Linked DNA regions of Canis lupus familiaris. The main gene of each other region encodes a partner of the protein of the gene in region 3 in a complex. Links are inferred from orthologs where the notes say so. Each region holds a gene or a part of one and is shown on either strand. Other genes may lie near its edges. The genes, in order: STK11, STRADA and CAB39.

Region 1 (7,816 bases), on a different chromosome or scaffold from region 3:
TGAGCTCCCACGGTTCAGAATCAACTCCCCCTCCCCCCACAGGGACCGACCAGACATTCAGGGAGGCCCCGGGCCCTTGGCCGTGGGTGTGCGCGCGGACAAACCTCGCCCTCCTGCTGCCGCCTCTGGCGGCCGGCCAGCCTGGGCTCCCCGTGGAACCCTTCCCAGGACGGGGCGGGGGTGGGGAGGGACAGATGCTGGGACCTTGCAGAGGCCACTTGGGACAAGAACAAGAGCCGAGAGTCCTGGGCTCTGACTGTGGACTGAAAGCCCAATCACTCACTGTCCAGATCCAACTATGTGCCCATCACCACAAGGCGGTCCCCGGCCTCACTGACGCCCCAGCCTGGAAACCCACACCTGCTTACAGGCCACCGCCGCCCGCGAGGACCCGTGCTCCTGGCCACTCAGGACCGAGAATCTGGTTGGAGGAGACCGGCTGGGGACGCTAGGGGGACCGGCACTCTGGACATAGCTTATCAAACGCACACGTGCTCCCTTTGACCCAAAAACTCCACTTGAGCTGACATGCCCTTCAAATACCCTTGCACTTGCAATGGGACGGGAAAGCAAGGAATTCCCCAACGCAGCACAGGAGCCACCAGCAGGAGGCAGGTGAGGCCTGACGGTGGAGCGCTGCACCCCAACAAGGCCGCCATGGGGATGACCTAGAAGCCTGACATTAGAAAAGCAAACTGGCTGGGCCGGAAGGGCAGGGGTCCAAGAACCACGCCTGAGAGGCCACAGTGACTGCCCCGCGACTAGACGGCGGCAGCGAGCAGCAAGCGATTTCCACATTTCTCAACAGCCGACAGAAGAAAACCCCACAAAGGACAATGTTTTGTAACACACGAGACTGAAAAGTGAGTCGTGGCGTCTGCACACTGTCGTGGGTGCAGCCACTGGGTCACACACCTGCGGCCTGTGGCTGCCTTCCCGCTGCTCCAGCACGGACGTGCAGCAGTCCGAGGCCTGCAGGGCCCAGCCGGTTTACTACCTGCCCTGTGAAGTGCGCCAGCCCGGGGAAGCAACTGTGCAAAAGGGGAAGAACGTGCAGTTTTGCCTATACCCGCACAAAACCCCACGGGCAGGACACGCGGCAGCAGATCCCCCTAGTGCCCCGAGAGGGGAGGGAGTGAGGGAGACTCCACAAACGTTTGCCTTCTTCCCAACTCTTATGGGTTCAATCCATGTGATTCTGCTGCCTGTCAGAAAAACAAGTGAACATGACTTATCTTCTACAAATGATGCGGGATAAAAATACAACAATAAAAACGATGAGGGGTGACTGGGTGGCTCGACCAATGAAGCATCCCTCAGGTCACGATCCTGGGGTCCTGGGATGGAGCCCCACATCGGGCTCCCAGCTCAGCAGGGAGTCGGCCTCTCCCTCTGCCCAGCGCCCTGCTCATGTACGCGCTCAAATAAGTAAATAGGGATCCCTGGGTGGCGCAGCGGTTTGGCGCCTGCCTTTGGCCCAGGGCGTGATCCCGGAGACCCGGGATCGAATCCCACATCGGGCTCCCGGTGCATGGAGCCTGCTTCTCCCTCTGCCTGTGTCTCTGCCAATCTCTCTCTGTCTCTCTCTCTCTCTCTCTCTCTCTGTGTGACTATCATAAAAAAAAAAAAAGGTAAATAAATACAATTCTTTAAAATAAAATTGGTGAGTCTATAAAAAGTTTTATCTATAAAAAGATAAAAAAAAACTTGAACACATATGACAAGAGAACATGTTCTGAATTCATGACTGATATATATATTTTTCTTACTTGAAGCTTTCTGAAACTCTCTTGCTGTATAAAAACATGCTAGCTTCAAGGAGCATGAGGAAGAGGGGGGCAAGCACAGGCCCACAGCAGTTCTTGGGAGAAAACCACACAAAGTGGGCACGTCCTGAGCCTCCCCCCAAACTTGATCACAGACGTCATTTTTTTAAAAAAAGCTTCTAGTCCAAGCTGGGACTCCTGAGGCTTGTCTGGAAGGTTCCGGACACTTCACTTGGGAAAAAGCAATTGGAGTTTATTAAGCCTCTCGAAGACAAAGGAGCCTTTTTTTCCCTGCAGCCGGCTGGCAGCAAGGCTGACCCGGGAGCCCAGACCTCCTCTTGCAAGGACACCCCTTTCCTTCTCATGAAAGCCGGGTCCTGAGCTGATGAAACGGGCCAAGTGCCCTACCACTGTGACACCTTATGCCAACTGCCAAGCCAGCTGGGGACTCCCAACACTGCACCTGCCAGGCCTCAGTTTCCCCTCAGGTTCTTCTGATGGACACTGCAGGACCGAGCGCCCTGCAGCCCCAACACTGCACACCCAGATGTCTCCACCAGCTCTGGGGGCCTTGCTGACCATTCAGGAAAGCAGAGACTGGGACGCCAGCGCCCGTCAACCCCCCAGTCAGGTTCTGGTCATGTGTCTCCATGGAGCATCAGGGAACTCTTGTAGGTGGCAGTCTGACCCTGGGTGTGTGCCGTTTGTCAAGTCTCACACCGCGCGTCATGACCGAGTGCCCGCACAACAGGTACGTTGTGCCTCAGCATAGACAGGCATGTGTCCACCGCAACAGGGGTCCGCAGAGTCCTGGGGCCTGCTCCACTCTGCTGCCACCAGCCGCCCCAGAACCACTAGCAGGGTGGGCTTGGGTGCCCCAGCCACAGGTCAACTGGTGCTAGAACCCAGCCCTAGCCCTTGAACGGGACTCACGGATTCTGGGAACCTCGAGGCGCTGCTCCCAGAAGGCTGGGGTCTGGGGAAGCCCCAGCAGCACGGAGCAAAGGAGCCAGCACCCGAACATCTGCACGGACCCGGCTGCCTCCAACTAGCAGGGAAGGGACCGGCACCCTGCTGCCCACACATATCAGGGGATGAGACTGAAGAGGAGCCAGGAGGACCAAGGTGGACCTGGGACACTGGGGGAGGAGCTGTTTCCAGGGCAGGAGCTCACTGTCCCCCACCCCACAAGGGTGGCAAACAGGCAGCCCGAGGCCACATAACTCCCAGGTGCGTCTGGCTTAATGAGCCAACAGGACTTAGAAGCCAGGGGTTGAATGGGGATTTCTGACTGGAGGTGAGGGTCACCTGGACCTCAGGGGGTGCTGGCTTGCCACCTGCCTCAGTCTCCCCCACCCCACCTCACAGGTAAGAGGCTGGCCCCAGGGCACCCGGCCATCCCTTCTCGGCGCCCACAGGCTGGGCGACCAATGAAGCATCCCTCAGGTCACTAGGGATAAAAAGACCTCGCCACAACACCGCCAGGCTTGCCTTCGGACCGCACGGGAAGACGACCGCCCCGGCCAGCTGCGCATCAACAGCAGAGCCAGTCCGGTTTGGGTTCCCCGTTCCATCCACAGCTTCACCACGCCCAGACCCAAGCCAGCCCGGAGCGAGGGAACACAGCTCAGCTTCTGCGTGAGAGCCAACCCGGCCAGGAAGGGGGAGGTGCACGCGGATAGGGGAGCAGCACTTTCCAGGATGGGCCTGGAGGGACGTCCAAGGTCGTCAGTCCTGCTGCCTGGCCCGAGAGATAAACCCCTTCTGGGAAACTGGAGGCTGGGAGGAGCAGGAGCCCAGGCGGGGCGGGGACCCAGTGGGTGGCAGCCATGAGGAGGGACGCCCCCTCCTGAGATCAGCGAGAGGGATGGAGACGCACCCCCCCCCCCCGCCCCATCCTTGGGGGTTGGGGAGACTCCAGCACAGACTTCAACACCTCTGCGACGCCTAGGGGCTGACGCGCCTGAAGAAGTTTGGGTAAAAAGTTTGCCAGGACACAATCTGGTTCCTCTCCCAGGGAGTCACCTGGGCCTGCAGTCACGGATGTGTCTGGTGTCACATCCCAAGTGAGTAAGAAAAGGCTGAGTTACCCCCTGCTGACCGATAAGCCAGGGCAAACAATTATTTTTGGCAACCGCAGGGCTCCCCTCCAACAGGGTAAACAAATCGCATTTCGCCTGGCCCTAGTAACAGCTGCACGCTGCGCTGCGCAGAAAACCTGCTGGTGGTGGCCAGGGCCGTTTAGGAACACAAATTCTCAGAGCCAAATAAACATTGGCTGGTTACACTGGGCACCTAAATTCTTTCGACAGCTGGGAGGGTGAAGGGGGGGGATGGGACGCACCCTCATCTGGAAAAGGCTTGGACGCCAGCATCGGAAGGAAGGGGACACCCAGCTGCCGCAAGCTGGCCTGACTCGCCGCACGGTACCTGAGCAGGTTCCCAACAACACCTGCCCTGGGGAGGAGGACACGGGAGCTGCCCGGGCACCTCGACAGTTTAAGGAACGGGAACAAGCAAGAAGGAAAGGGGGGAGGATGACCGACCTTGCTGGCTGCCCGCGCAACGACCCAGGAAGTCCACACTTACTTCTTGACGTTCGCCTCGCCGTTGGGGATCCTCCGCAACTTCTTCTTCTTGAGAATTTTGACAGCCCTCCTGCACAGCGTCTCCGAGTCCAGCACCTCCTTCACCTTGCCGTAGGAGCCCTCCCCTAGCAGGTCTCCCATCAAGTACTTGCCGATGAGCTTGGCCCGCTTGCGGCGGGGCTGGTAGATGACTTCCGTGGAGTCGATGCGGTGGATGAACGTGTCCATCCCCACGGACATCAGCTCCCCCTCCGTAAACATGCCCAGCTGCTGCGGGTCGGCCACATCCATTCTGGACCCAGCGCCTCCGACTGTGGCCGGCGGTCCCTTATCTCCCTTATCTGCTGCCCCTGGTGCGCGGTTCTTCCTTTTGTCCCCCTAAAATTCCCTTCTCCAAAATAAAAGGCCCGAAAACAAACCCTCCCTCCCCCCCCCCAAAAAAAAAGTCAACAAAAATGCAAAAAAAGGAAAAATCGAAAAAAAAAAAAAACAGGAAAACCCCTGTCCGGAAAGAAACGATTGTACTAGTCGTGAGTTCAAGAGGCGCGCGTGGCCCGGAGCCCCGGCGGCCGCGGGCGCGGGGCGTCGCAAGTCTGGGTGCCTGCCCGCCTCGCGGCTGCGGGCCGGGCCGGCGCGTCCACGGGGGCCCTCCGGAGGCCGGTGGGGCTTCCGAGCGCTAGGTCATCCTCCAGGGACTTCAGACCCTCGGACGAGCGCCGCTGCGGCCGGGCCGAGTCCCCTCCGGGCCGGGCATCACCAGCGGGCCGGGGCGCGCGCCCAGACAGGGCCCCGCGGCGACCCGCCGGCCCCCGGGCCCCGGGCTGCGCAGCCGAGCGGTGCCGGCGGCCGGGCGCGCTGCTGGGGGCGGCTCCCGGCGGGGCCCGCCGTCCCGGGGGCCCGAGGCCGCGGCGGGCGCCTCTCCGGACGGCGCGGGGCGCAGCGGCGTCCGCCCCCGCCAGCCCCGGGCGCGCGTCGGGGGGCCGGGGGGCTGCCCGGGGCCCTCCCGCCGCGGGGAGCAACTTCCGTCGGAGCCGGCGCCCCCGCAGCGGCCGCCCCCCGCCCCAAACGGCAGCCCGCGCTCGCTCTCGGCCGCGAACGCCGCCGGCCGCGGGCCGCGGGGCGCGGGCACCCGGAGGGCTCCGAGCGGCCGCGGCGGCGCAGGCCGAAGGCCCGGGCCGGGGCTTCCCGAGGCCGCCGGGGCCCGGACGGCGAGCGCCCCCGCCGCAGCCGCCGCGCGCGTGGAGCAGGCGGGGCGGCGCGGGGGCCCAGCCCATGCAAGGCGCCGCGGAGCCGGCCGGCGCCCGCCGCCGCCGCCGCCGCCGCCTCCCGCGCCCCGCCTCAGTCGCGGACACCCCGGGCCGCCTCCCCCTTCCGCGCCCGACACGCCGCCGCCATCTTGTTTACCTCCCGCCCCCGCCCTGCGCCGCCGCGCCGCCGCACGCCCGCCCCTGCCGCCGCCGGCGTGCCCGCCCATTGGCTGAGGCGGCAGGCCCCGCCCCCGAGGCCCGCCCCGCCGCCGCCGCCGATTGGGCCGTTTGGACCCAGGCGGGCGCCCAAGTGGGGATTGGCTCACCCTCGGCCCCGCCCCGGGGGCGGCTACCGCTCGGCTCATTGGGCCGCCGAGGCGCCCGTCACGGGGAGGCGGGGCTGGCGGGAAGCGGGCGCGCGGGGAGTCGCTGCGGCGGCTCGGCCTCGGAGGGGCGCGGGGCGGCGGGCGGGGGTCGTGGGCGACAACGGCCGCCTGGGAACGGCTGTGCGGCGGGCAGCGCGCCCGCGGGCCGGGGGACTGGGCTCGGGGGCCCCGGGGCCACGCGGCCGGCCAGCGGGCGGAGCCTGCGGGGCTGGGCGGGGGGGGGGGGGGGGCGTGAGGTCGACCCCGCGCGGGGCGTGGAGATGACTCCGAGAGTGCCCGGAGCGGTCCGTTCGCGGCCGAGGGCCCGTGCCGAGCGTCCCCGGGAGCTGGGGCCGGGAGGGGGGGGCGGCAGCTCGGCAGGCTGGGCTACGCGGGCTGGAGGAAGCCCCCGCGCCTCCCTTGCGGCGGGCCGTCCTTCCCCGCCTTTGTGCCTTCACGTCCTCCGAGATTGTGTTCCCGGAACCGTCGGCCCGTCCCGCGTGAAGCTCGGACTCGCCCCAGCCCGGGCCTGGGGACTGGGGGCGCTGGCACTCCGGGGTGGGCTGCAGGCCGCGGTTCTGAGCCCAAGACCTGCCGGGTACCCACGGCCGCGTGCGTGAGGCACCAGGGGACAGCGTGCGAGGGACAACGTGCACCGAGGGACAGCGTGCACCGAGGGACAGCGTGCGAGGGACAGTGTGCAACAAGGGACAGCGTGCAACGAGAGACAGCGTGCGAGGGACAGCGTGCACCGGGGGACAGCGTGCAAGGGACAGCGTGCAACGGGGGACAGCGTGCAACGAGGGACAGCGTGCAAGGGACAGCGTGCAACGAGGGACAGCGTGCAAGGGACAGCGTGCACCAAGGGACAGCGTGCAACGAGAGACAGCGTGCAACGAGGGACAGCATCCACTGGGAGACAGCATGCACTGAGGGACAGCGTGCACCGGGGGACAGCGTGCGAGGGTCAGCGTGCACCGGGGGACAGCGTGCGAGAGACAGCATACACCGGGGGACAGCGTGCACCGGGGGACAGCGTGCACTGAGGGACAGCGTGCGAGGGACAGTATGCACCGGGGGACAGCATGCACTGAGGGACAGCATGCACCGGGGGACAGCATGCACCGGGGGACAGCGTGCTAGGGACAGCGTACACCAGGGTACAAGTGCAATGAGGGACAGCGTGCAAGGGACAGTGTGCACCAGGGGACAGCGTGCACCGAGGGACAGCGTGCACCGGGGGACAGCGTGCACTGGGGGACAGCGTGTGAGGGACAGCATGCACCGGGGGACAGCATGCAAGGGACAGCGTGCGAGGGACAGTGTGCACCAGGGGACAGCGTGCACTGAGGAACACCGTACACCGGGGGACAGTATGTGGGGGACAACGTGCATGGGCTTCACCCCATTCCCGGACCAAGGACATCTCAGAGATCAGGGCGGAAAACCATCGGGGAAAACCCATGAGACCAAGAAATTGTTCTCTGAAAGGATTTTGAAGAAAATGACGGACCTCAGACCAGATTGGCCAAGAAAGAGGAGCGACGTCAAGAATGACCGAAAGGATGTCCCTACAGACGCCGCAGATATGATAAAGGATCGTGTACTGGAAACAACTCTGTGCCAGTAAATCCAACATCCTCGTTGCGATGGGACAGCACCGTGGAGGACCCCAAGACGAGAGCTCCCTCAAGAGGAAATAATCACCGTAATCTCAGAATGAACGGAAACCTGCAGTGAAAATGTTTTCAACAAAGACAAGGAAGGCCTAGACCTTTCGTTGGTGAATTTCCACCAAACGCTTCAAGGAGAGGGGACACCACTTTTAGACGATGTCTTCCGTAGAACAG
Region 2 (7,577 bases), on a different chromosome or scaffold from region 3:
GTTATTTAGAGCAGTGTTATACAAAGAATCTATTGGTTTTGGTGGGATGGGTAAAATACTGTATTTTATCATCCCAGATTCTCTTTTCTATGTTCCTGTTCCTACTCATTTTAAGTGATTTGAAAGGATGTAAAAGGGAGGAAGCAGTTATACCCAAAAGAGTGGCTTCTACTACAGACTGCTAAAACAATTAGTGGAAAGTATTAGTTTCTGGAGGTTGGTGATTAGCGAAAGATTTATTTCCATTTGGAAGAAAGTATAGGGTTTTAATCCGTTGACAACAAGTTGAATGCCATCTTGGCTCCATTAACTGAAAATAACCAATTTCAGAAGAAAACGGACTTTTTCCCCCTGAAAAGCAGAAACTTGCATCTACTATGCCACTTTTAATGGATTTTGTTTTTATTTTCATCTTTTAAAATTAACTGTCAAATAAATAAAATTAACTGCCTTTTAAAATTTCACCCATCTGGTTTTATCCAAATAGTGGGACTTTTATTTATTTAAGACACCTAGGCCTTTTTAAATGATTAGTTCTTATCACATTTTGAGCTTAAATGCTTAAATTTCTTTCTTCTGCATCTTTTTCTTCTATGTAACTATCAGAACATTTGTAGCAAAGCTAGAAGCCAGCTTTCTGCTTCAGAAAAGAGCCCTGGGTTTGTAACAGGGATGCTGGTGCCGTCCTAGTGCTTGAACAAGTCTGTTTCCTCCTCCATGAGTGGGCATTCTCCACTTTTCCCCCTTCTGAAATGGCTGTTCAGAGGATATAAGACAGCATGTGTAATGTGCTTTTGAGATAAAAGATGTTCTATAAATTAAATAACCCTGTTCAATTCACTAAACCAAAAGTCATAAGCATTTCTCTCACTTGAGTATCTTAGGCAATTAGTGTTACCTTACCTTTCTGACAATTTATATGATATCTTGAAGAGGCCAGTGCACTTAAACTGGATGCCTAGAGTTCAAAGCAAAACTTTCTCATCACAAGTCAAAAACAAAGCAGGGAGTCTTTGTAAACTCTGAAAGTTGACCTTTCATTTCACTGATTTTCTAAATTATCCGGATTTAGGAGGCCCTTTTGCAAGGAAAACTAAAGTGAATGGAAATTTGCTCCTTGGAACAATCACAACTGAAGCTGTGCCTAAAGTTTCTCTTACTAGCTTTTGTGGGCAGTCGTGAAGATGGTGAGACCTTTTGGCCTCCTTGGCAGATTAACATCCAGTTAGAAAATGACATGGCTGCTGGGATAGGTGTGCTGGGAAGAGCCTTTATGTTCTAATTCCCCAGAGCAGTGGCTGCATCATTTGGCATCTTTTCAGGCACTGAAAAGATGTGGTCCAAAGACCACGTGTGAAGAAGGTGTCCTCTTCTAAATAACACCAAGAATTTTACTTCAATTTTTAGCAGCTTCCTTCGTCAGTTTACCATTTGCTGCAGAGAGAGGCCTCTTACTTTGAAAATGAGAGAACAGCGTGGATCTTGCTTTAGAAAATTAAAGCACTAGATGAGATCAAAGTGATATCAGTATGTAAAACTGAATGAGGTCCTGGAGTCACCGGCAAAGTTCACATTCACCTATTTTCGTTCAGTTTGGATGTAGCTGAATTCTCTCATCTTGGAAGTTGGGCCAGTATAAATCTGTGTCATGGGACAGAGCTGCGAAGAGCCTGTGACCCATCCTTGCTGGGATCCATCCAACTTTGGACACAGGTGCCATCCCGAGTAGGTCCCTGGAAAGACGAAGCCCCACAGGAGTCTCACTCTGCTCAGGCTTGCTTCCCGCTCAAGGCAAACCTGACGGGGGTCTGCAGAACATGCCCCTCAGGCTTGTGCACAAGGAAGGATCCAGGGACAAAAAGATCCAGAAGTGGGGGGAAAAAGTTTCCGTTAGCTGAGCTGTTTTCCTCCTTTTACAAATAAGGAACCTGAGGCACAAGGAGTGGGTTTCCCCTTTGCAGTTTGCCAGTCTGGGGCTGGAGGGGCGTTTGGGAGGTCTTCAAAGAAAAGTGCGAGACGGTTTTTCCATTCAGGTACTACCACACAAAATGAAAAAAAATTTTTTTTTTCTTAAGTAGCTAAATCCTCAGCCAGGTGTTTGTTTGCCTTACTCTAGTTACCGCCCCGCCCGACTCTTCATTATTGAGATCATCCTACTTCCTTCCTGCTGCAGGGGCGGGGAGGCTCCGCGGAGCCCCCTGTCGACCAGCTTCGCCTTCGGCTTCCACACACTAGGGACAGGGACCCCTCCCTCGGGGCGCGCCGCGCGGACCGAGCTAACCTAGAACCTAAGACGCGCTCGCCGCGCGGCGAGTGCCGAGGACCTGCCGCCGGAGCCCCGCGCCGCTGACGAGACGCCGGACGCGCTCAGAGCCGGGGGGAGCGGGGTAGGGGCGGGGGCGGGGCGGGACGGGGCGGGGGCGGGGCTTCCTTACCCGCTCCGGGGTGGAGCCGGGGCGGGGCGGAGCTCTCCAGCCCTCCCCGGGTCCCGCTACTGCGCATGGCACGTTGCGTACCTCCCCCCACCCCCAGCAACCGGCCTGGCGGCGCGGCCCTAAACTAAGGAGGCGGAGCTGAGACGGGGTCGGGACTGCTTGCTAACTCCAGGACCAGGTACCGGGCTGGCGGGGCCGCCTGGTGCGCTCCAGGGACCGGTCCCTTCTCGCCCTGACGCCGATTCCATCTCCTCCGGGGCGGGCCTTCGTCAGATCGGCCATCCCGGCGCCCCCTCGCCCTCCACGGGCCCCTTTGCACCCAGTCCTCCTCGATTTCCCGCAACGAGGGGCTGCAGCCCGAGAGCAGAGTAGGCTTGGGCCTGCCTGGGAGACCCTGGAGCGGAGATGCCGGGCGAGAGGGGCGAGCGCCTGTTTTCCGTACCCTTCTTCCCCCCTGACTCCTAGGTGGGGAGCTTGGGGCCCAGGTGTCAGTTTGTCCTGTCCAAAGAGGAGGCCGATCCTGTGCTGACCTGACCTTCTGTCCCATCCCACCACCCCAATTCCCATCTCTCCCAGGCTGGACCGGCAGCGAATCAAGCCCCCTTAGGAGAGAGATTTAGGGGACTCCCTGAATCAGCAAAAACAAAGAGCTTCTAATGTCTTGTTTTCCAAGAATGTTTGGGTGCCCACAGATTAGGGGTGGAGATGGGCGGTGGGGGTAGGGAAGTGAGCGCGAGGAAAGGAGAGTGGTTAAATAAAATTGTTCCAGTTTCCAGGAAATGGGGGACTAATTTTTCTGCCCAGCCTTCTTTTAAGATAACCTACCATATTCTAACTTGACTTTCCCCAAAAAGGAAAAGCCGTTCGAATTGGTCCTTTTCTTACTGTATAATACCTGTTGAAGTAGAACCATATTCCAGTGTGTATTTGAGGCATTAGGACAGTTCTTTGACTGATTCATGCTGTTGAAAGACACCCAAGATTGTTTCTTATTCTTGAGAATTGAAGAAGCTGAGTCTCATTTGGTTACCTGCCTTAGGCCAAGAGCCTACTCAGCCATTTGTTACAGTGCTGAACTTAAGTCTATTCCCTAACCCTTCAAACAGGTTTCTTAGGGTATTGTGACTCAGATGTTAGTGTTTGTAGTTGTAACCGCAGACCTGGATGAAATTTAGAAAAACAGTGACAAAAATAGGGGAAAAGGAAAAAAAAATAATAAATCAAGGTGAATTAATTCTTTTCTATACTATTTGGCATCTGGTCAGCAGCACTGTCAAATCAGGTGATGTCTTCTCAGTCAGTCATCATTGTATCTTTGTAGACACTTTCCCCTGGACTGCTCTATAATCACTGTGGTTGCTGGAGCACAGGCTTTGGAGCAGATCTAACTGGTCCTCTGCCACTTGCCCGTGTAATTTTGGGCATTTAACCTCTCTGAGCTTTTATTTTTTTTTTTTTTTTTTTTTTTTTTTTTTTTTTTTTTTTTTTTTTTTTTTTTTATTTTTTTATGATAGTCACAGAGAGAGAGAGAGAGAGGCAGAGACACAGGGAGAGGGAGAAGCAGGCTCCATGCACCGGGAGCCTGACGTGGGATTCGATCCCGGGTCTCCAGGATCGCGCCCTGGGCCAAAGGCAGGCGCTAAACCACTGCGCCACCCAGGGATCCCCTCTCTGAGCTTTTAAGTTCCTGATCTGTAAAATGAGGAAGATAGTACTTATTGTGAGCTGATCTGTGTGAAGCGTTTAGCACAGATCCTTGCATCTCGTAAGTTCACCATAAATGCTTGCTGCTTTTATTATTTTTGCGATTAACAGTTTAACAGATACGGGAGTGCCCATCTCATATGTTGGGCACAATAGCCCCTGGTAATGCAATAGTGAGCAAGATGCATTGGCAATTAGCATTGTGGTAAGTGTGAGGGTTGAATATGGAGGCTGACACCTAACATGTAGGGGAAGGGGAGGCGGGGGGCAGTTAGAGAGGACTTCTGTAGCACAGGACACCTGAGATGAGTAGTAAGGAACTACAGGTTAAAGGTAACAAGGCCAAGGGAGCAAAGGTGGTCCAAGAGGGGAAGAAATTAATTTTTTCTTTGGACTCCCATTTCCTACCTGCCCTCAGGTATGATGTCCCCAATATAGACCTATCCCAAGGCTTGCTTCCCAGCCTTCTGCTTTTCTCTCCGCATTTTTTTCAGTGCATTTGTCACTTGTATAGCTTTGGCGCTATCTCCCAGGCCCACATAGTCATCTCTAATGTGTCTCTTAAGCATCAGTCTTACTTTTCTAACCAACTGCTATATCTTCTCACTTGAGATACATAACTATTTTCTCAACCTCAACATGATTTAAAAACTCGAACTCATCTTTCCACTAGAACCGCTTCCACCTCTGAGTTTCCTGTTTTGTCGCTGACACACTGTTCTTTCCCAGTTACTTGGGAAAAAAAAAATCGGAGTCATTCAAGTTGTCTACAGTAGAATAGGTTCCCGATAAGGTAGTAAGTCTCTGGCTGGGGAAGTTTTCAAGCAGAGGCTAAATAATCTTACATCCAGGAGTTTGTGAAAGCTGTTCCTCCGAAGGGTGGAGGATGGGCTAGATGACTTATGATGTCCTTACTAACTAAATATAATTTCTTTATTTTCCCTTCATTTCCTATCCATCTGTTTCTTAACGTTCCCTCTGCTACAACTCTTATCACACCAAATATGGCCCATATAATTGTGTTCTAACTGGAATTCCTTTCTCTGAGGAATTCCAGAGAATTCCCTTACCTTCTCCCATCCCTTTGCAGATTAATATTCCTTAGAATATTTCTAGAACAAGGCTTCTCAAACATTAGTACGATGGTCCACAGATCAGCGACATAATCATCATCTGGGAGTTTATTAGAAGTACCAGGCCCCGCTCCAGACCTTCTAAATCAAAACATGCACTTTTTTTTAAAAAAAAACCTGCACTTTTAATAAGATCCTCAATTTATTTGAATGCACAATGAAGTTTGAGAGACTAGACTATCTTAGACCACTGTTTTGTGTTTGTCACCATTCTGGTCAAAACCTACAGTGGCTTCCTAGTGCTGAAGAAAATCGATGCATATAAGGCCTCTTCATTGTTCTCATTTATCTGGAGTTAGTTGTGCTTCTATAACTGGCCTCACATTAAGTGGAGAAAATAGGGATCCCTGGGTGGCGCAGCGGTTTGGCGCCTGCCTTTGGCCCAGGGCGCGATCCTGGAGACCCAGGATCGAATCCCACATCAGGCTCCCGGTGCATGGAGCCTGCTTCTCCCTCTGCCTATGTCTCTGCCTCTCTCTCTCTCTCTCTCTGTGACTATCATAAATAAATAAAAATTTAAAAAAATTAAAAAAAAATAAGTGGAGAAAATATGCAAAGTGCTAACATACTTCTCGGTACTTTGGGTCAGTCAATCAACATTACTGAGTGCCTACTCTATGACAGGTAGGCACTATTCTAGAAACTGGGAGATACACATGTGGACAAAACAAAGTAAGCACTAAAAATCAGTAGCTACTACTATTTCATGCTTGGAATTCCTCCTATTTGACATTGAAGCCCCACCCCTTCAATAAAACTATCCAGGTCTATCTCAGCTTATAGTAACCATCTTCCCTTTTCCTGAACACTGTAAGGGCTTGCCCATTTCTGCTTGTGCATTCCCCAGACCTTGCCGAATTAAAAATTTTTGAAGATGGGAGTTTGAACATCCATAGGTTTTTTATAACTATGCAAGTTAATTTGAAACACATCCTGGGTTGAGAACCAATGTTCAGATAATTAAAGAAGCTGTTGATGTGGTAGTCTAGGACCAGTTCTTAGGTTTGTTATATTAATTTATATGGTGTTTAGGGATTGACTTTATTTTCTATTTCCAGTATTTTCCAGAGCTGGACAGTTCTGCAGATAACAATCATCTTTTTATCTACATTAATATTCTATTTTCTTTCTGTTATAGACTACAAATGGATATGGATCCTGTTTCCTCTTAAGTTTCTTTTGTACAATGCTTTGTGTTTAATGTTATTAAATAATTTGCACTCTAATAATCTTTTTATTTTTCAAATTTAGTCAATATTTTTACTATTTCATGCCAGGATAAATGATTCTCAACATGGTGATGATCTTCTATGAGAAGATTAGGATAGGGGTGAGGATAAATGCAATTTGATAAAAATCTATAGGTGATTTCGATTAAAAACCATTGCTTTGATTTCTAAGCAGTTCAAAGGATTCCAAGAACTCTATGTACCTGATTAAGTTTGTATTCCCATTGCTATACTATATACTACCACAATCCCTCAAAACTCCAACCCACCTAAAAAAAAAAAGAAGAGAAATGTGGCAGGGATTCTTCAAAGGTATTTCCGATTATTTATTTTAGTCATTTTACTTTTAAAATAATTTTTGTTGAGATATAATATACCTACAATAAAACACACCTACATTAAATGTATGGTTTGTTGAGTTTCAACAGATACATTTGTGTAACTACTATGCAATCAAGGTACAGAAATTTCCGTCACCCAGAAAGTTCTTATGCGTCTCTTTGAAATTAGTTCCTCATCTCACCCTTGGTCCCAGGCAACCAATGACCTGCTTTGTGTCATATTTTTACTTTTTCTGGAATTTCATGTATATGGAAACAATATGTATATTTATATCTGACTTTCACTTAACATGATATGATTGTATTTATGTTTGTTCCTTTTTATTGCTGAGTAGTATTACACGTTTTTTTTTTTTTTTTTTTTTTTTACTTATGAGTTGATAGACATTTGGATTGTTTCCAGGTTGGCACCATTGTGAACATTGCTGTTATGAATATTCATGTACCAGTCTATGTGAACATATGTTTTTATTTCTCTTGAATAGATTACCTAAAGCAGACTTAATTGGGTCATGGGAAACTAAACTGTTTTCCAAAGCGGTTGTTAGACTAGTTTGCATCCCCATCAGCAATGTTTGAGTTTCTGTTGGTAGGTATCCTTGTCAACACTTGGTATTGTCGGTCTTTATTTTTAGCCATTTTTAGCCATTTTTGTAGGTGTGTGTAGTGGTATCTCATTGTGGCTTTATATACATTTCCCTGATGACAAATGATACTGAGCATCATTTCATGTGC
Region 3 (7,059 bases):
GGAATGAACATAGTGATGGGAAGCAATAAGGAGATAATTGGAGTGAGTGCTTGATGGCAGAGTGGGAAAGGACATTGTATGGTAGGAACATATCTCATGAGGAGAAGCCTGGACATTAAGCCCAGAAGTTTGTCTTTATTTGATGGCAAGAGGAAATCGTTTTGAACTCCTAAGCTGGAAGTGCTATTGATACACTGGTGTGTCAGGTTAATTGGTTAAAACCCAGCTTAAACCAAGATGCTAGTTAGGGAGCTCTTGCTTTTCTAAGTGTGAGTTAATGCAACAGTGGGGATGGATGAAAGGAAACAAAATTAAAATATTTCAGAGAAGTCTTTAAAAGGATGGGTGGGGACACCGAAGATGGGAAGGTTGGAGGTGCTGAAGGGGAGAAGATGTAAACTGTTCTGTCCAATGCAGTACCTACTAACCATACTCCATCATTTCGTTTTAAATGAGTTAAATAACATTTAAAATTCAATCCCTCAGTCATACTAGCCAAATTTCAAGTGCTTAGTAGCCACATGTGGCTAGTAGTAACTACCGAAGTGGACAGCACAGGTATAGAACACTTCCATTGTCAGATGAGAAAGTTCTGGAAGACCTGTTTTAAACCTGGGCATCTGAAACAAAATCGTGGTGCCAAATTAGAGAAATGGGGAAGCAGGGGAGGGTGGCTGTTTTGCAAAGGGAGAGAAGATTTGAATTTAGATAGGGTAGTGCTTATGGTAGACCTTTAACTGAAGTTGTCCAGAGGCAACAGAAAATGCCTAACTAGAGTCCAGGAGCAGATGAGAGTAGGGGAATTTAGTCCCGGTGGGAGCCATGAAGTGCTGTGGCTGCTCACTAGCAAGCTGGCAGCCCTGGAGGAAGGAATGCCCTCAGCCCTGCAAGAAATAAGAACAGTTCGAGCAGTAGAAAGAAGAACTGAGAGAGCTTTTTCTTTCCTTTTTCAAAGACATAAATGCAAAGGTCGGCACTGTTGGGACACTAAGTAAAATTTATGTTGTGAGAGAAGTTTGGCTTAGCCAAGAGAAGGTGTTTTGCAAGTAGAATGTTGGGAAAGGCAGAGAGAATGCAGCAGGAGGATTGGAGGAGACTCTATGTTCGAAAGACACAAAGCTGCACCTGCAGCCCCAAAAGGCAGTGGAGGGGCCAAGGCCAGTCTGCACCCCTCAGAGAGGAGCAGGCGGCTGGGCTAAGAGGAAGACGGGGGTGGAGGGAGTGGGGGCTCCTTTCTGACCGAGCTGAGCCACAGACGTGTGTGCGTGACTGATGCCAGGGTGTCCCCAACACCCACCACAAGAGTTCTCCAGGCTCTCCTTGATAAGCACCTGGTAACCTCCTCAGAATTAGGCTTTCAATTTTGTGGGGTTCACGTTGCCAAGAGTCTTGAAGGTTCTATTTTGAGTATAGAATTGAAACAATGAGGTATAAATGCTATATATTTGTTAGACCTATTTAGGTACCATGAGTTTGGGAAACGATTTTATTTGTTTCATAATAGTTTTTGATTTCTGAAGTCTTAGAGCACCACATGTAAAACTAACCCCTGTTTGGAGGTGTGACCCTAAATACTCAAATCTTTTAGCTTTAAATAATAAATGTTTATTTATTATTATTATTTCTATATTTTTGTTTTCCTTTGGACTGCAGCAGTTGTCACCAGCTAATGTGTGTGTGCATTCTAGAGTAAATTCACCTGAGCATATATCCTACTCTGAGAGAGATGTCTTTTGTAACCTGCTCTAGTCACTTAATTAAGACACATCTGAGACATCTATTTGAAAAATTTGAACTGTTCAGCATTAGAGGAGTTTTAAAACAGCAATCATGATTTATTTTTTTCTTTTTGTAGGTATGAATCTCCAGAAATAGCTCTAAATTGTGGAATAATGTTGAGAGAATGCATCAGACATGAACCACTTGCAAAAATCATTTTGTGGTCAGAACAATTTTATGATTTCTTCAGATATGTCGAAATGTCAACATTTGACATAGCTTCAGATGCATTTGCCACATTCAAGGTAACATGAAACTATAGAATTCTAAATATACTTGTAAGTCCAGTTAACTGGTTTGCGGTTTTTCCCTAAACTTCTAACCTCTAAGTCTATACACGGCTGCCCTCTAGCGGGAAGAGAGAAGATATGTTTTATGTGTGTCCATGCGACTTAGGCTAATGCAGTGGAGCCACAGCTTAAAAAGGATGGAAGAGATAGATTCTAACCTCTATCTAAAAGTATGGTCTGTATGGTCAAAAGTACACTTTTCTGTTAAATTACTTACCAAGTGTGGTATACTGATATACAGTACGTCTAATAAACAGGTTTTTCTCCTGTGTTGGAACATACTACAGCAATTTCTTTGGTTAAACACCAAAGTTGTCATCTGTTCAGAGCCATGCTGATTTGGAACAGGCATGTCTTTTAATACTAGAACCACAATCAGGGCAAAGAGATTATGTTGTAGTTAGGCCCAAAGGAACAATGGACTTAGGTCTCCTACTCATGCCAAAACTTATTTATCAAATACTTCAGGAAAGGGGAGCAGAATCACCTGCCCTATTCAAATTATTATGTAGCCTCCCTTCCCTGTATACTTTATCTCCTGTTCTGTATTTGTATAAATTAAATACACATATGATATGATACTGCTGTACAACATGCACATTTTTGCTTTGAATTGTAAGGTTCTATGCTGTTTATGGTATATAGGCAGTAATATTTATTAGTGTTCTTCATAATTAAAGTAAGCCTTTAGATGTTCCATTCCCTTATGTAAAATGACCTTATGAGTGAATATTTAGAACTGCTACTTTACTGTAATCAGAATTTAATATACTAACCTGAAGACTACTTTGCTAAGAAACCATGAACACTGTTTTAGTGAGAAGTAGCCACTTTTCTCATGAGATTTCAGTTTTATGAAGGTAAAGAGCCCTTGAGATAATGAGCACACGCCTTGGTCTCTGGGTAAAATACGTTCCTTACAGTGAATGAACACCCTTGAAACAGGATGAAAACCTGGGGACCTGGCCATTAGGGTTTCACATGGAACGAGAATATGGTAATAGTGTGAGAGGTGCCTAAGGATTTATTTTCCTGAAACCATTAAAGAGGATATCGGAAGCCCTAGGTAAGATCTCAGATGTTTATGTGTCAATGTACAAAGCTAAATGAACTGAATGCCAGGTTCTAGCAGAGTAATAAATGTGGTGTCTTTTGTATCTCTGCATTTTGGGAATAGGACTCATAATTAGGATATATTGGTGGAAGGGGATGCCCATTCAAAAGCAGCAGGCCTGTTACAGAGGGAAGTATGGTAGCACCATGTGTTGTGGTGAGATCCTCCTGTGTGGAAAGCAAGCCATGAGCCAAGAGTAGCCTCTGGGGGAGAGGCAGGTGGAGGAAGAGGAGAGGAGCGGCCACAGTGTTGGGAGCACAGTCAGACCCTGACCCGGGGAGGGGCGTGCTCCATGCCATGCTTCTGGCCAAGGTAGCACACCCAGCCAGCAGGTGGGAGAGATGTGTTAACACCTTGCCAGAGATGTGATTCACAGTATTGGACAGTCTTGCTTGGCCTTACTGATAATTTCGTTATCAGCCCTCGGTTAGGGCTGCTGCTTTGAATTACATCCTCGCTAAGGAGAAAGTGGTGGTGATGGAATCACTGTGGGTCAGGCAATCCTGCCAGGTCATATTAGCCAGAGAAGGGGAGAATGGGGCAGTGCTGGGCAGGTGGTGTCGACCTAAGGAAGGAAACTTGCAGACACAGTGCAGGATTCGAAGGATGGACTTGGGAAGAGAGAGGATGACAGTAGGAAAGGGGGATAGATCTGTGTCTCATACTGTCCTCAAAGAATATGACCATACCCCGCTCTCCAGAAACGGTCTCTGCACTTTCAGACAGATGCAGCTCACCCGCAAACCCAAATTTAAAGTCTGTGGAACAGGTGCTGAGTCTCAAAAGGAAATTAAAACTACCTGCTCCAGGGGCACCTGACTGGCTCAGTTGGAAGAGTGTGCGACTCTTGATCTTGGGGTCGTGAGTTCAAGCCCCACATTGGGTTCAGAGACTACTTAAATAAATATTAAAAAAAAAAAAAAAAACTACCTGCTGTAAATGTGTCCAAGATTTGTAGGTTGAATGAATGTGTACTAAGACAGTAAATCAGTGGCCAAATGTTGTTCGTGTTTTCTTTTTTGAGGACTTAAGGAGATGGGGAGGGGCATCAGAAGGCCAACAAATATATTTCCAATTTTTCCAGAATAAAAGAAGGTAGATTCCCCAGAGAGGCTGGTGGAGCTTGGAGCTCGATGTTATACCTGTGTAAGGTTCTAGAAAGTATTTCTAAAGAGATGATTTCTGAGCATTTTGGAAAGGAAACCGTGTACCCACAGCCAGCATGGATTCACGAAGAGAGTAAGTTCAGTCATATTAATCTCATAGATGCCAGTAGATGAGGGGACTAAGAGTGTGTGGCTGCCTGGGTTCATTTCCCAGCTCTGCTGTGGATTTCATCTCAAGTTCTTCATCTGTTAAGATGGAGGTGATAATGCTAGTATGTCAGGGTTATTGTGTCTACACACAATATGTGTGCAGCAAACAGTAGCTATTAGAATTATTCCTTTATGGCCATGAGGATATGCTGAATGTTGAATAATTGTATTTTCATGGAATCAGTGAAGATAGGAGCTGGAGTTTCAGTGTAGTTATTTACATCTAATTGAATGCCATATCCATAAGGTGCTAGGGAATGGATTGCCATCACCCTGGAGAGAATTTTCTGGTGGATTTCCACTGGGCTTTATTTCAGCCCAGCTGAACATTGTTAATGACTTAGATAAAGGGTGACAAAGCCTGCTTATCAAATGTGTAGGTGATGGCTGTGAAGGAAAAGATAGCAGACAATGGTGATCCTAAAATAAGGCTTCGTAGAGATCCAGAGAGGTCAGAATGGAATAGGACGATGATTGAGGTCCCTCCACTTGAGGACCTAACTGTAAATAAGGGATGTGGGAATAAGGTATAGTAATACAGTTATTATTAAATACAGTAATTGCCAAATATAATAATTACTAATGTAGGCAATTTCATATCCTACTCAACCATCTCCTTTACAGATAAGGAGTCTAGAAATATTGGGTGAAGTCAGGCTATAAAATGGGGAACCCAGAATTTGAACCCAGGCAGTCTGCCTCCAGAGCCCACTCTGAGGAAACAAAATTCTAAATATGTCCTGTAAAATTAAATAGTGTGATGCTGCTGCCCCAAAGCTACATGTGACCACATAGTGTGTGACCTAAAGAGCTGATGATGGTCTCACCCCACTATAAGCCATTAAGGTAACAACACATAAATGTGTTCCATTCCAGGCGCTACACTTTAAGAGGCACATAGACAAATAGATGACTTTCAGAAGACAGTAGATGGTGAGGGGGACTCAGAACCTGTCATGCGAGGAGTGGTTAAAGGAACTTGGACGTATTTAGCCTGGAGAAGAGAAGACTCGGTAGGGACTTGCCGTGAGAGCACTACATGTATGTGAAGTGGGATCCTATAGAAAGTGGGTTGAACCTATTTCTGTCGGCTCTGACAGTTTCTGAAAATAACCTGGGGATAGGTTTGACTCTAGCACAGGGAGAACTTTCTAACCCTTAAGAGTTCCATAGGTGAGCCACACAGTTGGAACAATTGAGTCCCTTATCCTAGGACATGGTCAAGCATCAAGGACGAAATTGGGCCGTACAGCTTGCCAAGGCTCTGTGAAATCGAGCCCTGGGCTCAGTGGCATTTCTTTGAAGACCCCAGGGCCGTCTTTGCCACAGGGTGTTTGAGGCCCCAACTTACTGACTTTTAGGAATCTTTTTCAATTCAGCATACCCTAAAAGTTGGCTGCTCAATCTGCTGGGCTCGGGAGATGACCCCTACCTTTCTCCCAGTCCTCCCAAGGCCTTGGATATACTAGAATTCAGATAGGTTAGAAAGCAGAGATCTTGTTCCTCTCCACTGCTAGCTGACCCAGCACCTCGTGTTCTGGGACACATAGCACCCTGGAAATTTTGCACATTTCTGACCACTGACTGCCTGACCTTTTCCCTTTGCTCTGTTGATTTCTGCCCCCACCATGGTTTGAACTCTCTGAAGCTCTTGGCTCTAACCCGTGGGGTGAGGTTTCCTTTTCATCTCTCAGGTAGAGGCTCTGCCCAGGTCCCCACCTCCTCTTTCCCTGCTTAGAATTGGCCATTTTGGGTACTGACTGTCAGCAGTTGCTCCTTTCCTGCCAGCATGTCACTCCTCTCCAGGCCCTGGTGTGGCCCATCTTGACAAGGAGCTTTCATTCTGCTGTGCATTGGAGTCCAGCTCTTTCTTCAGCAGTCTCAGAGTACCCCCTCGGTCTCTCCTAACTCAAGGCTGTTCAGATTTGATTCCTAGATTGACAGTGGTTTCCTGAAGTTTCCTGGTTTCTTGAAACCAGATGGTAATAGAATCTTTCCTAGACGGAGAGATGTTAGAGGTGTGTCCCCCCCCCGCCCCCCGTTTCCTCTGTGGCCCAGCTGTGAGGCTCTTGCTCCTACTTGAGACCTTTCAGAGTGGTTTCCTTACTCAAAACTTTAGTAAAAATCTGTTGCACCACGGGTTTAGGACTTTGCTTTCTAGAGCAGTATTTTCTACCTGCCTGTCCCTAAAATCAACCCCAGTTGAGGAGCCATTGTAGCCATTGACTAGCCCAGCAGTAAGGTCCCTTCCAGTTTTTGGTGTTCTCTTCTGTTAGATTATGGTAGAACAGTGAACACTGTGTTCCTTTTGCAGTACTTCCTTATATTGGTCTCCAGAGTGATTTAGCCACAAAAAAAGTAGAAATGACACTTAGTTTTGCATGGATCCTGACACACTAATCCCTTAATTCGCTTATTCACTTGTTCATTCTGCTTACTCCACAAGCCTGAGTGCCGACCCCATGTCAGGCACCATTCTTTCGGCAGTGGGATTCAGCAGTGAACCATGCACATCCCTGCCCTTGAGGCTCCTACACAGGGGAGGTCACCACACACAGAT

What was found.
Region 1: the proteins of CAB39 (region 3) and STK11 are in contact, whole or in part, in a crystal structure (PDB 2WTK), measured with the Homo sapiens proteins. The link is inferred for Canis lupus familiaris from reciprocal best matches to the Homo sapiens genes CAB39 and STK11. Residues at the interface, in NP_001124321.1 of Homo sapiens: Gln109, Gly111, Thr112, Lys196, Leu197, Leu238, Asp239, Arg240, His241, Phe243, Met246, Ile250, Val280, Ala283, Asn284, Pro285, Glu317, Gln318; in NP_000446.1 of Homo sapiens: Gln100, Arg103, Arg104, Glu165, His168, Ser169, Gly171, Leu201, His202, Pro203, Phe204, Ala205, Ala206, Asp207, Asp208, Phe234, Arg301, Ser307, Arg310, Lys311, Lys312.
Region 2: the proteins of CAB39 (region 3) and STRADA are in contact, whole or in part, in a crystal structure (PDB 3GNI), measured with the Homo sapiens proteins. The link is inferred for Canis lupus familiaris from reciprocal best matches to the Homo sapiens genes CAB39 and STRADA. Residues at the interface, in NP_001124321.1 of Homo sapiens: Leu26, Glu27, Lys28, Gln29, Tyr55, Gly56, Thr57, Asn58, Ala85, Asp86, Gln88, Leu89, Phe92, Glu93, Lys96, Arg107, Glu138, Leu141, Ile145, Ser176, Thr177, Phe178, Asp179, Ser182, Asp183, Glu221, Asn222, Tyr223, Val224, Arg227; in NP_001003787.1 of Homo sapiens: Pro64, Leu104, Glu105, Cys107, Ser108, Asn109, Val112, Gln116, Leu119, His120, Lys123, Leu124, Phe125, Asn126, Thr136, Phe137, Ile138, Asp140, Asn141, Leu143, Tyr185, Met189, His223, Gly224, Arg226, Val426, Asp427, Asp428, Trp429, Glu430.

What each region holds. Positions count from the first base shown.
Region 1 is NC_049241.1:58,055,005-58,062,820, forward strand, and holds the start of STK11 (serine/threonine-protein kinase STK11), read right to left. Parts: upstream 4,784-7,816; 5' UTR 4,646-4,783; coding exon 4,356-4,645; intron 1-4,355. UniProt on the Homo sapiens protein: Tumor suppressor serine/threonine-protein kinase that controls the activity of AMP-activated protein kinase (AMPK) family members, thereby playing a role in various processes such as cell metabolism, cell polarity, apoptosis and DNA damage response.
Region 2 is NC_049230.1:15,211,801-15,219,377, forward strand, and holds the start of STRADA (STE20-related kinase adapter protein alpha), read left to right. Parts: upstream 1-2,448; 5' UTR 2,449-2,613; intron 2,614-7,327; 5' UTR 7,328-7,431; intron 7,432-7,577. UniProt on the Homo sapiens protein: Pseudokinase which, in complex with CAB39/MO25 (CAB39/MO25alpha or CAB39L/MO25beta), binds to and activates STK11/LKB1.
Region 3 is NC_049246.1:42,966,504-42,973,562, forward strand, and holds part of CAB39 (calcium-binding protein 39), read left to right. Parts: intron 1-1,855; coding exon 1,856-2,024; intron 2,025-7,059. UniProt on the Homo sapiens protein: Component of a complex that binds and activates STK11/LKB1. In the complex, required to stabilize the interaction between CAB39/MO25 (CAB39/MO25alpha or CAB39L/MO25beta) and STK11/LKB1.